Rattus norvegicus: one gene and its partner. Each later gene encodes a partner of the first gene's protein in a complex. Links are inferred from orthologs where the notes say so. Each region holds a gene or a part of one and is shown in the gene's direction. Other genes may lie near its edges.

What was found.
Region 2: the proteins of Gigyf1 (region 1) and Tnrc6c are in contact, whole or in part, in a crystal structure (PDB 7RUQ), measured with the Homo sapiens proteins. The link is inferred for Rattus norvegicus from reciprocal best matches to the Homo sapiens genes GIGYF1 and TNRC6C. Residues at the interface, in NP_001362694.1 of Homo sapiens: Tyr479, Asp481, Pro482, Gln487, Phe490, Trp498, Tyr503, Phe504, Leu508; in NP_001136112.2 of Homo sapiens: Arg1719, Pro1720, Pro1721, Pro1722, Gly1723, Leu1724, Thr1725.

What each region holds. Positions count from the first base shown.
Region 1 is NC_086030.1:24,805,292-24,808,815, reverse strand, and holds part of Gigyf1 (GRB10-interacting GYF protein 1), read left to right. Parts: intron 1-51; coding exon of another isoform or gene 52-53; coding exon 54-218; intron 219-406; coding exon 407-660; intron 661-744; coding exon 745-853; intron 854-1,753; coding exon 1,754-1,885; intron 1,886-2,027; coding exon 2,028-2,131; intron 2,132-2,286; coding exon 2,287-2,458; intron 2,459-2,568; coding exon 2,569-2,735; intron 2,736-2,870; coding exon 2,871-2,971; intron 2,972-3,049; coding exon 3,050-3,166; intron 3,167-3,294; coding exon 3,295-3,395; intron 3,396-3,524. UniProt on the Homo sapiens protein: May act cooperatively with GRB10 to regulate tyrosine kinase receptor signaling. May increase IGF1 receptor phosphorylation under IGF1 stimulation as well as phosphorylation of IRS1 and SHC1.
Region 2 is NC_086028.1:103,410,851-103,415,241, forward strand, and holds the start of Tnrc6c (trinucleotide repeat containing adaptor 6C), read left to right. Parts: upstream 1-1,470; coding exon 1,471-1,533; intron 1,534-2,541; coding exon 2,542-2,563; intron 2,564-4,391. UniProt on the Homo sapiens protein: Plays a role in RNA-mediated gene silencing by micro-RNAs (miRNAs). Required for miRNA-dependent translational repression of complementary mRNAs by argonaute family proteins.

The sequences.
Region 1 (3,524 bases):
AGTAAGCTATCTTGAGGCTCTTCCGTATTTACTGTTTGTCTCCCCTGTGCCAGTACGATCTGGCTTTGAGGAGGGAGGGGCTGGCCCGAGGAAGGAGCATGCGCGCTCAGACAGTGAGAATTGGCGCTCACTTCGAGAGGAGCAAGAGGATGATAGCAGCTGGAGACTTGGGGCAGGACCCCGGCGAGATGGTGATCGCTGGCGTTCCACCAGTCCTGGTAAGATGGGAGCAAGGTGGGGTTCAGGATATCTTGGTGATACTGGGGAAGAGGTGGCCCTGCACGGGAGGAATGAGAAAATTCCAGAGGAAGCCATGCTAGTTGGGAAGGCCTGGTGAGCCAGAGAAGGTGGGTCTTGATATGGCTGAACACTGGAGCTTTTCCCCCCTTTTCTAACTTTCTTTCAGACGGTGGTCCCCGCTCTGCTGGCTGGCGGGAGCATGGAGAGCGGAGGCGCAAGTTTGATTTTGATTTGCGAGGGGAACGCGGAGGTTGTGGTGAAGAAGATGGGCGAGTTGGGGGAGGCAACTCACACCTCCGAAGATGCCGGGGGCTGGATGGCTTTGAAGATGACAAGGATGGGCTCCCAGAGTGGTGCCTGGATGATGAGGATGAGGAGATGGGTACTTTTGATGCTTCTGGAGCCTTCCTGCCTCTTAAGGTACTGTCTTGGACCAGTTGGGGTTGGCAGAAGCTGTCCTCCAGCCACCCTCCCACTATGTCCACTCTGCCCTTTCCCACACAGAAGGGCCCCAAGGAACCTATTCCAGAGGAGCAAGAGCTTGATTTCCAGGGCCTGGAGGAAGAGGAAGAGGAACCATCAGATGGGGTGGATGAAGAGGGGCCTGAGGCCGGTGAGCCTTTAGAGCGTTGCAGGAATGAGCTCTGAGAATCTTGGGTTCGGGCAGGTTGGCAGAGAGATCTGTTACCAACCTGGCTACTGACTGCCCACCTGTCTGTCTGTAAGGTCAGGCCACTTAGAAGGGTTAAGGCAGGAGCAGTGAGACAGCTTGGCATGTAAAAGGGCTTGCCGCCAAGCCATGATCTGAGTTCAATCCCTGGAACCCACATGATCATAAGGGAGAAGAACCAAGTTGTCCTCTAACCTGCAGCACATGTCACATGTGCTGTGTGTGCCGGGGGTGGGAGGTGTTGGGGGTCTTAGGGTCCGGTGTAGGAGAGCAACCTTTGTCAGGTGCCCACAGAGCCCCTCCTTACATGTGGTTCCTCCCATCTCTCACAGCAGAGCCGGGAGTCAGTGTGTTTAATGAAGGCGGGTGTGTGGTTCTCGAGTCTGTGCTCATGCTCAGTTAGGGTGTTGACCAGGGTTAGAAGGATAGACTTACTGTCCAAGGCCATGGAGCCATGCACATGCTGACTCGTGTCCCCTGCGGTTTTACTCTGCCTGTGTATGTGGGCAGGTCAGGGGACACCGTGGGCATAGGTCCTTGCCTTTCACCTTGTTTAAGGTAGGGTCTGTGGGGGGTTTTGTCTGTTTGTTGTTTTGTTTGTTTGTTTGTTTTTTTGCTGAAGTAGGCTTACAAACTTGTGGCAGATCTCCGTCTCTTCCATGTTTCCATAGGAGAACTGGGATTACAGAGACATGGTAGCTAGCACATGGGGCTTTTATATGGGTTCTTGGGATTTCACCCAAGGTCCTTATGCCTGGGAAGCAAGCACTTTTATGCATCCAGCCAGCTCCGTGGCCCCAGCTCTTTTGCATCTGCGTTCTAGTAATCATCTGTTTCTTCCAGGAGGGAAGGAAGTGACCCCATTGCCTCCTTCAGAGAAGTCGAGCTCCCCATCCTCACTGCCTGCCTTGGGCCCTCTCTGGACAGCGAATGAAGATGGTGAGGCAGTGGAGAAAGAGCTGCCCCCGGCTGAAGGTAGGCTGGCCTGAGCTGTGCAGAAGGGAGTGACAGGGCGTGGCTGGTGAAGGGCAGTAGTAGCAACCGCCTGTTTTCCTAGAAGCTACAGGAGCCATCTTGTCCCTTCTCCACCCCTCCCTGCTTTCCCATTTCTTCCCAGGAGACGAGATGAGGGGACTGCCTCTAAGTCCAAGAATCAGTTCCCCTCCTGCAGGCCCGCCTGCAGACCTAGAAGATGAAGAAGGCTTGAAGCACTTGCAACAGGTTTGGGGGTGCCTGTGCATGCTCGGGGCCTCCCCTCCAGGGTTGCAGAGCACTTTGTCTTATGTGTCCCAGATTTCTTTGACAGGGTTTCTGGCCTGCCCTCAAGCCCAGCCTCCTGAGGCGGCTCAGACTTGCCTTTCTTCCTGGACTTATAGGAGGCAGAGAAGCTGGTGGCCTCCCTGCAGGACAGCTCCCTGGAGGAGGAGCAGTTCACTGCTGCCATGCAGACCCAGGGCCTACGCCACTCCACAGCCGCCACTGCCCTTCCCCTCAGCCATGGCGCTGCCCGAAAGTGGTTCTACAAGGACCCACAGGGAGAGATCCAAGGTAGCATCGGGTAGCAGACTGCTGGGACTCTCTGGTGCTCAGGCAGATCTCAGCGTGCCCTCTGACCATGCCGCGGCCACCTCCTAACCCTCTTGACGCCCTTGTTCCAGGCCCTTTCACAACCCAGGAGATGGCTGAGTGGTTCCAGGCTGGCTACTTCTCCATGTCCCTCTTAGTGAAGAGGGGCTGCGATGAGGGTTTCCAGCCTCTGGGAGAGGTGATCAAGATGTGGGGCCGTGTGCCCTTTGCCCCAGGGCCCTCGCCACCCCCGCTGCTGGTGAGCACTGTCTGCCTGGCAGGCTGCAGGGAAGGCCAGTGGGGGCAGCAGCAGGACCGCAGGCTTCCCCACCACCTTGCTTGCTGGGCATGCTCCTGCTGGGCTCCCTCACAGGCATGCTCTGGCCTCCCACAGGGGAACATGGATCAGGAGCGGCTGAAGAAGCAGCAGGAGCTGGCTGCGGCAGCCCTGTACCAGCAGCTGCAGCACCAGCACTTTCTGCAGCTGGTTGGCAGGTATGGGGAGCCAGGGGCTTGCTGTGGACAAGGCAGTGGCCCTGTGGGGTCCACTGTCTGAGCCCAGTATGTCTGTAGCCGCCAGCTCCCGCAGTGTGCGACACTCCGGGAAAAGGCAGCTATGGGGGACCTGACGCCGCCGCAGCAGCAGCTCACTACGTTCCTGCAGCAGCTCCAGGCTCTCAAAACCCCCAGGTCTGTCACAGTCCCAGCCCGTGTCTGAAGTGGTGTGTGTAAGAGTGTAAATGCGTGTGCTGGTATGAGGTAGAGGAGGGCAGGCCACAAGAGAACGGTATCCTGAGGACCAGTGGTTTGTTTCTCAGAGGTGGGGACCAGAACCTGCTCCCGACAATGAGCCGGTCCTTGTCGGTGCCAGATTCAGGCCCCCTCTGGGACTTACATACCTCAGCTTCATCACAGTCAGGTGAGTGGCCACCCTGCCCCAGTCCACCTCTTGTTCCCTTGTCTCCTCAAGTCTTTGCTGCTGCCCCCACTCTTGTCTGGCCTGCCCCACAGTGGCCCAGCCTCAGACACCCAGAGGGGCAGTGCCCAC
Region 2 (4,391 bases), on another chromosome or scaffold:
GTCTGTCTACTGAATTCCAGGCCAGTACATACTGAGACCCTGTCTCAGCAAACAAACAAATGAAGACTTAACTACAGAAGCGGCATGAACCCTAAGCTGATGAAGCCCCGGCTAAGAAGGGAAGCCCCACTGGAAAGCTGGCGCACATTCACAGGGCATGGCACAGATTTGCTGAATGAGCACCAGGAAGCACTTTAAGCTAACTACCTGTTCTTCAACTAGAGCACATGCAGAATGCAAGCCAGTCACAGCCAGTAGCCCCTCAGCTTGTGCTCCTATTGGAAAGGAGCCCTGGGCGTGTTGATGGATGGCTAGGTGTGTGTGGACTATTGGTGCAGCAGACCTGGAGTCCGGTGTGTGTGTGAGGAGGAGTCCCATGAGAGACAGTTGGGAGGTGGCTAGTAGTAGGGACTGGAATTAGTTCAGTGCTAAGAGTGCCATTGGATGGGATGCTAGGCTGCCAGAGCCAAGGTTGCCCATGCTAAGCCTAGGCCTGTAACCAGCCAGCATCTGGGCTTCAAACCCACATACTAACCTCACAGTGCCACGGTAACAGGTGTCAAGAGGGTCCTTCCTCCTGCAACTCCCCATGGTGCTGACTGAAAGAAGGGCCAGAGCCTGTGTTACTGGGAGAGCATGGAGCCATCAGGAAAGAGATAGTGACCCCTGATGCATGCACACCACTTGGGCTAGCTATAGCACTACAGCCTAGGTGTTAGCTGTCTTCACTTTTTAAAACAGAGTTCTTCCATGTTGCATATCTTGTAATAGCTCTCCAGCTGAACAGGGCTCTGTATAAAAAGATAATCCGTGTCAGACAAACATGAAGTTAGAGCATACATGGGAATCACCTCCACAGAGCCTGATCTGTTGGATGAGTTGGATAGAAATCACAGATCATTTCTAATAGGGAGCCCCAGTGATGGCAGTCTCTGAGACAGCACTAAGTGTCCTTACTCTGTAGACCCCACACAAAGCCCTGCACTAGTCGATTTCTCCACAGTTGTGGGCAGAACAAACGAGACAGCTAAGCCACTTGACAAAAAAGCAGGGCAGCAGCTGTCATACTGGAGGGGAACCTCCATTTCTGACTCCTCTCAAAGTGGCTCTATCATGTTGATGACATTGTCTAGATCAAGACTTTGTGCACAAATAATATCCCTGCCCTGTATCCTGAGTGTGGAGTTTCAAACCCAGGGCCTCACGTACAAGGCTACAAGCACCTGAGCTATGGCGGCAGCACCCTCCTACATACAGGTTAGTCTAGGGGTTAGCCTGTGGGCCACTCTGGCCTTAAACTTGTGATTCTCCTGCCTCAGCCTCCCAGACAGCTGGAATTACAGTCCTGTGCCCTCACTCCTGGTTGCTTTTTTACTTCTTCATTGGCTTTAAAGTAGTCATCATACTAACACTGCTTCTTAAATATTTAATAGGGTAAAAGAACAGGAAACACAAGAAGAGGAACGTTTGATGGAAGAAAAGAAAAAGAAAAAGCAGGAAGACAAGAAAAAGAAGGAAGGTGCTCAGAAAAAGGTTTGCTAGGACTCCTTCCATGTCCTCCATGTCATGTCTGCATCAACATGGCTGTCTCATGTCCAAGGTTGATTCTAGTACTGTTTTACGTCAATATGCCGAGTCTGGAATGAGTAAATATAGACACTTGGCTAGTGAGGCGAGTACAGAGTGCCGGTTACAGAAGGTCTTTTCTACAGCGTCAGGCGTACTGAAGCTGTGTCCAGGGCAGCGCAGCTTCTGTGTAAAGAACGCTCTTGCTGCCTCCTGAGAATGGACCGCCCAGCCCAGCCCACCCACAGCAGCCTATCGAGACATCAGGGAGAACCAGGAAACTGACAGTATTAGAAAAGCTGGAAATAATTGTTACAGTCTTAGTAAACATTCTTTATAAATCCTTATAAATAAATAAGTTCTGTAAACCAGTTTGGAGAGATGACTCAACAGTTAGAAATATTTTCTTTTTAAAAAAATTCTGTTTTTTAGAGCTCTAATTTAAACCTTATAGTCATATTTTTTATTTTGTGGCATGTAAAATAGCCAAATTATACTACCCACCCTTGCTTTCATCTCTGTACTGAGCCGTGAGATTGGAAGGATCCTTCTAGACTGACACACAGGGAGTTCAGATAGTGTCCATTACAATGTTTGCCAGTCACTAACTTAGCACTGTCCTGTGGTCAGAGTAGGATTTTTCTCAGTAGTAAATTAGCTAAATAAAAGGTTTGCTTTTAAAATTTTAAGAATTAAAAGTTTTAGTCCCAATAGTCACTCACACTCACTTGCTTGCTCCCCCCGACCCCCAAATTAAAATGAAAGGAAAACAGAGGCAGGCAGATTTCTGTAAGACTGAGGCCAACCTGGTCTGTGCAGTAAATTGCAAGACAGTCAAGGCTCCATGTCTCAAAGAAACTAAGAAAAAAACCCTAAAATAATTAAAAGTCTGCCTATAAACCTTCATCAGTGTGGACATTGCATTCAATTGTCTCTAAAAAGTTTCTCTTTTTTTTTTTTTTTTTTTTTTTTCAGGCTGCTGATCAAAAAACCAAAGGTAAGTTTTTTTTTTTTTAAATAATATATTTTGTGAGGGGAATACTTTTTATAGTAGCTTCAAACTTTGCAATGGTGTGACTTTTGTAAAATTTATTTTATGTTTATGGGTATTTTGCCTGCATGTTTGTCTGTGCACCAAGTGTGTGCAATGTCCAAAAGGCCAGAAGAGAGCCTTGGATCTCCTAAAACCGGAATTAAGACAGTTGTGAGCCACCATGTGGGTGCCCAAAACTGAACCAGGTCCTCTGCAAGAGTATCAAGCCTGGAGTTAATTGATACCTGGTGGGTGAAAACAGAGGCTCTAACTGTCTTCTATTGTACTTTCAGTATACATTGTGAAGCTCTTCATTTATGACTGATTTTATTCTGTGTTTTTTTCATTGTCATTAGGTTAATATAAAACTGCCTAGAAAATGTCATCTGCATTTTAAACAACACTTTAAAATTTCCTTTTGATTTGATTCCCACCAAATAAGGATCAAATTCAGGAATAAGAAGACCCAAAGAAAACTGAATATTTTTAAAGCTTGAAAGTCCTTGCTGCCATCTATTTCTTGCAGTGTAGCTTGTTTCTCTCTTACTGATGGTCAGAGGCGTCTTTCTTTCCAGAGCTGGCTGGCCTGTTGTTTTGACAGTGTCGGTGGGAACACAGGCAGCTCTCAGTGGATGTAGCTCAGGCGTGCTGAGTATGCTAAGCTCAGGGAAGCTGTACTCCCAGACGCCCACCTTCATACCTGAGTCCATAGGGACGGTTAGGAGAGGCACATGCCGTGGGTCACAGAGGCCAGCTCTGTTCCATCGTGCAAGGTGCTGCTTTAATCTTCAGGTGCCACATCTTTAAAATGAGAGAAGTCGATGGATTGCTCTTGCCTGCTAGGGCTGCTGTACAGACAGATGAGCCAGCCCACACGGGAAGGGTAGTGTGGCAGCTGGAGTGTCGCTGGGGTCCAGTGGAGGGCTGTGGCACTGACTGGCATGTCCTTCTTTTGTCTTCCCGTGGACACACAACTGCACATGCAGATGCTTACATCATAAGGATTTTTGCAAAAGTTCTGTCAGCTGCTCTGTAGTAATACTTCGTATCTAGTTGGCATCTTGTAGTTTTAATATCAAAATTATGTGTAGAATCTGAACTCATAATTGAGCAGGACTTAGATTAAGTTGTTGGTTTTTCTATTAGTAAATGCAGAACTAGTGGAACTACAGCTTTGACCCTGTGTGTTAGTCCTTAGTCTTAGTTCCTAGAGATGGGTTTGCTGGTAATGGGCATTAGAAGCAGCAGGGTTCTGCTCTGTTAGAATCTTTTCAGAAGGCTCCAAAAGGACTGGCTATGGCTGTATCTGAATTTATGATCTCAAATAAAACAGTGGTTTTTACTGCCATTTATAAATGTGGGACTCGTCCTACACTGTTGATATCCTCCCCACCCCTCGTTCGTGTGTGTGTGTGTGTGTGTGTGTGTGTGTGTGTGTGTGTGTGTCCCATTTTCACAACCTGTTTCATTGTCATTTATGATTCTTTACTTCTCAGGCTGTGACTGCTCACAACTGTGTGGTGACTGAAATCCATCTCCTGCCCCTTGTGGAATTACTGGTTTCTGTTACTATGCTGATGAGTGTTTGTACTGGGGATTACTGACTGCCAGCTTCTTGTATCTCCCCTGAGTTGCTGATTTTTTTGGGGGAACAGTTTGTTGGTAGCTGTATGTGGCCTTTGGATTTGTCCTAAACACAGTTGTTTGTGTCGTAGAATTATAAAGGCTCTAAAGTCTTGTACATAATTTTCTACTTTAGCTAATTATTTCTACTTTATATGTATGAGCATGT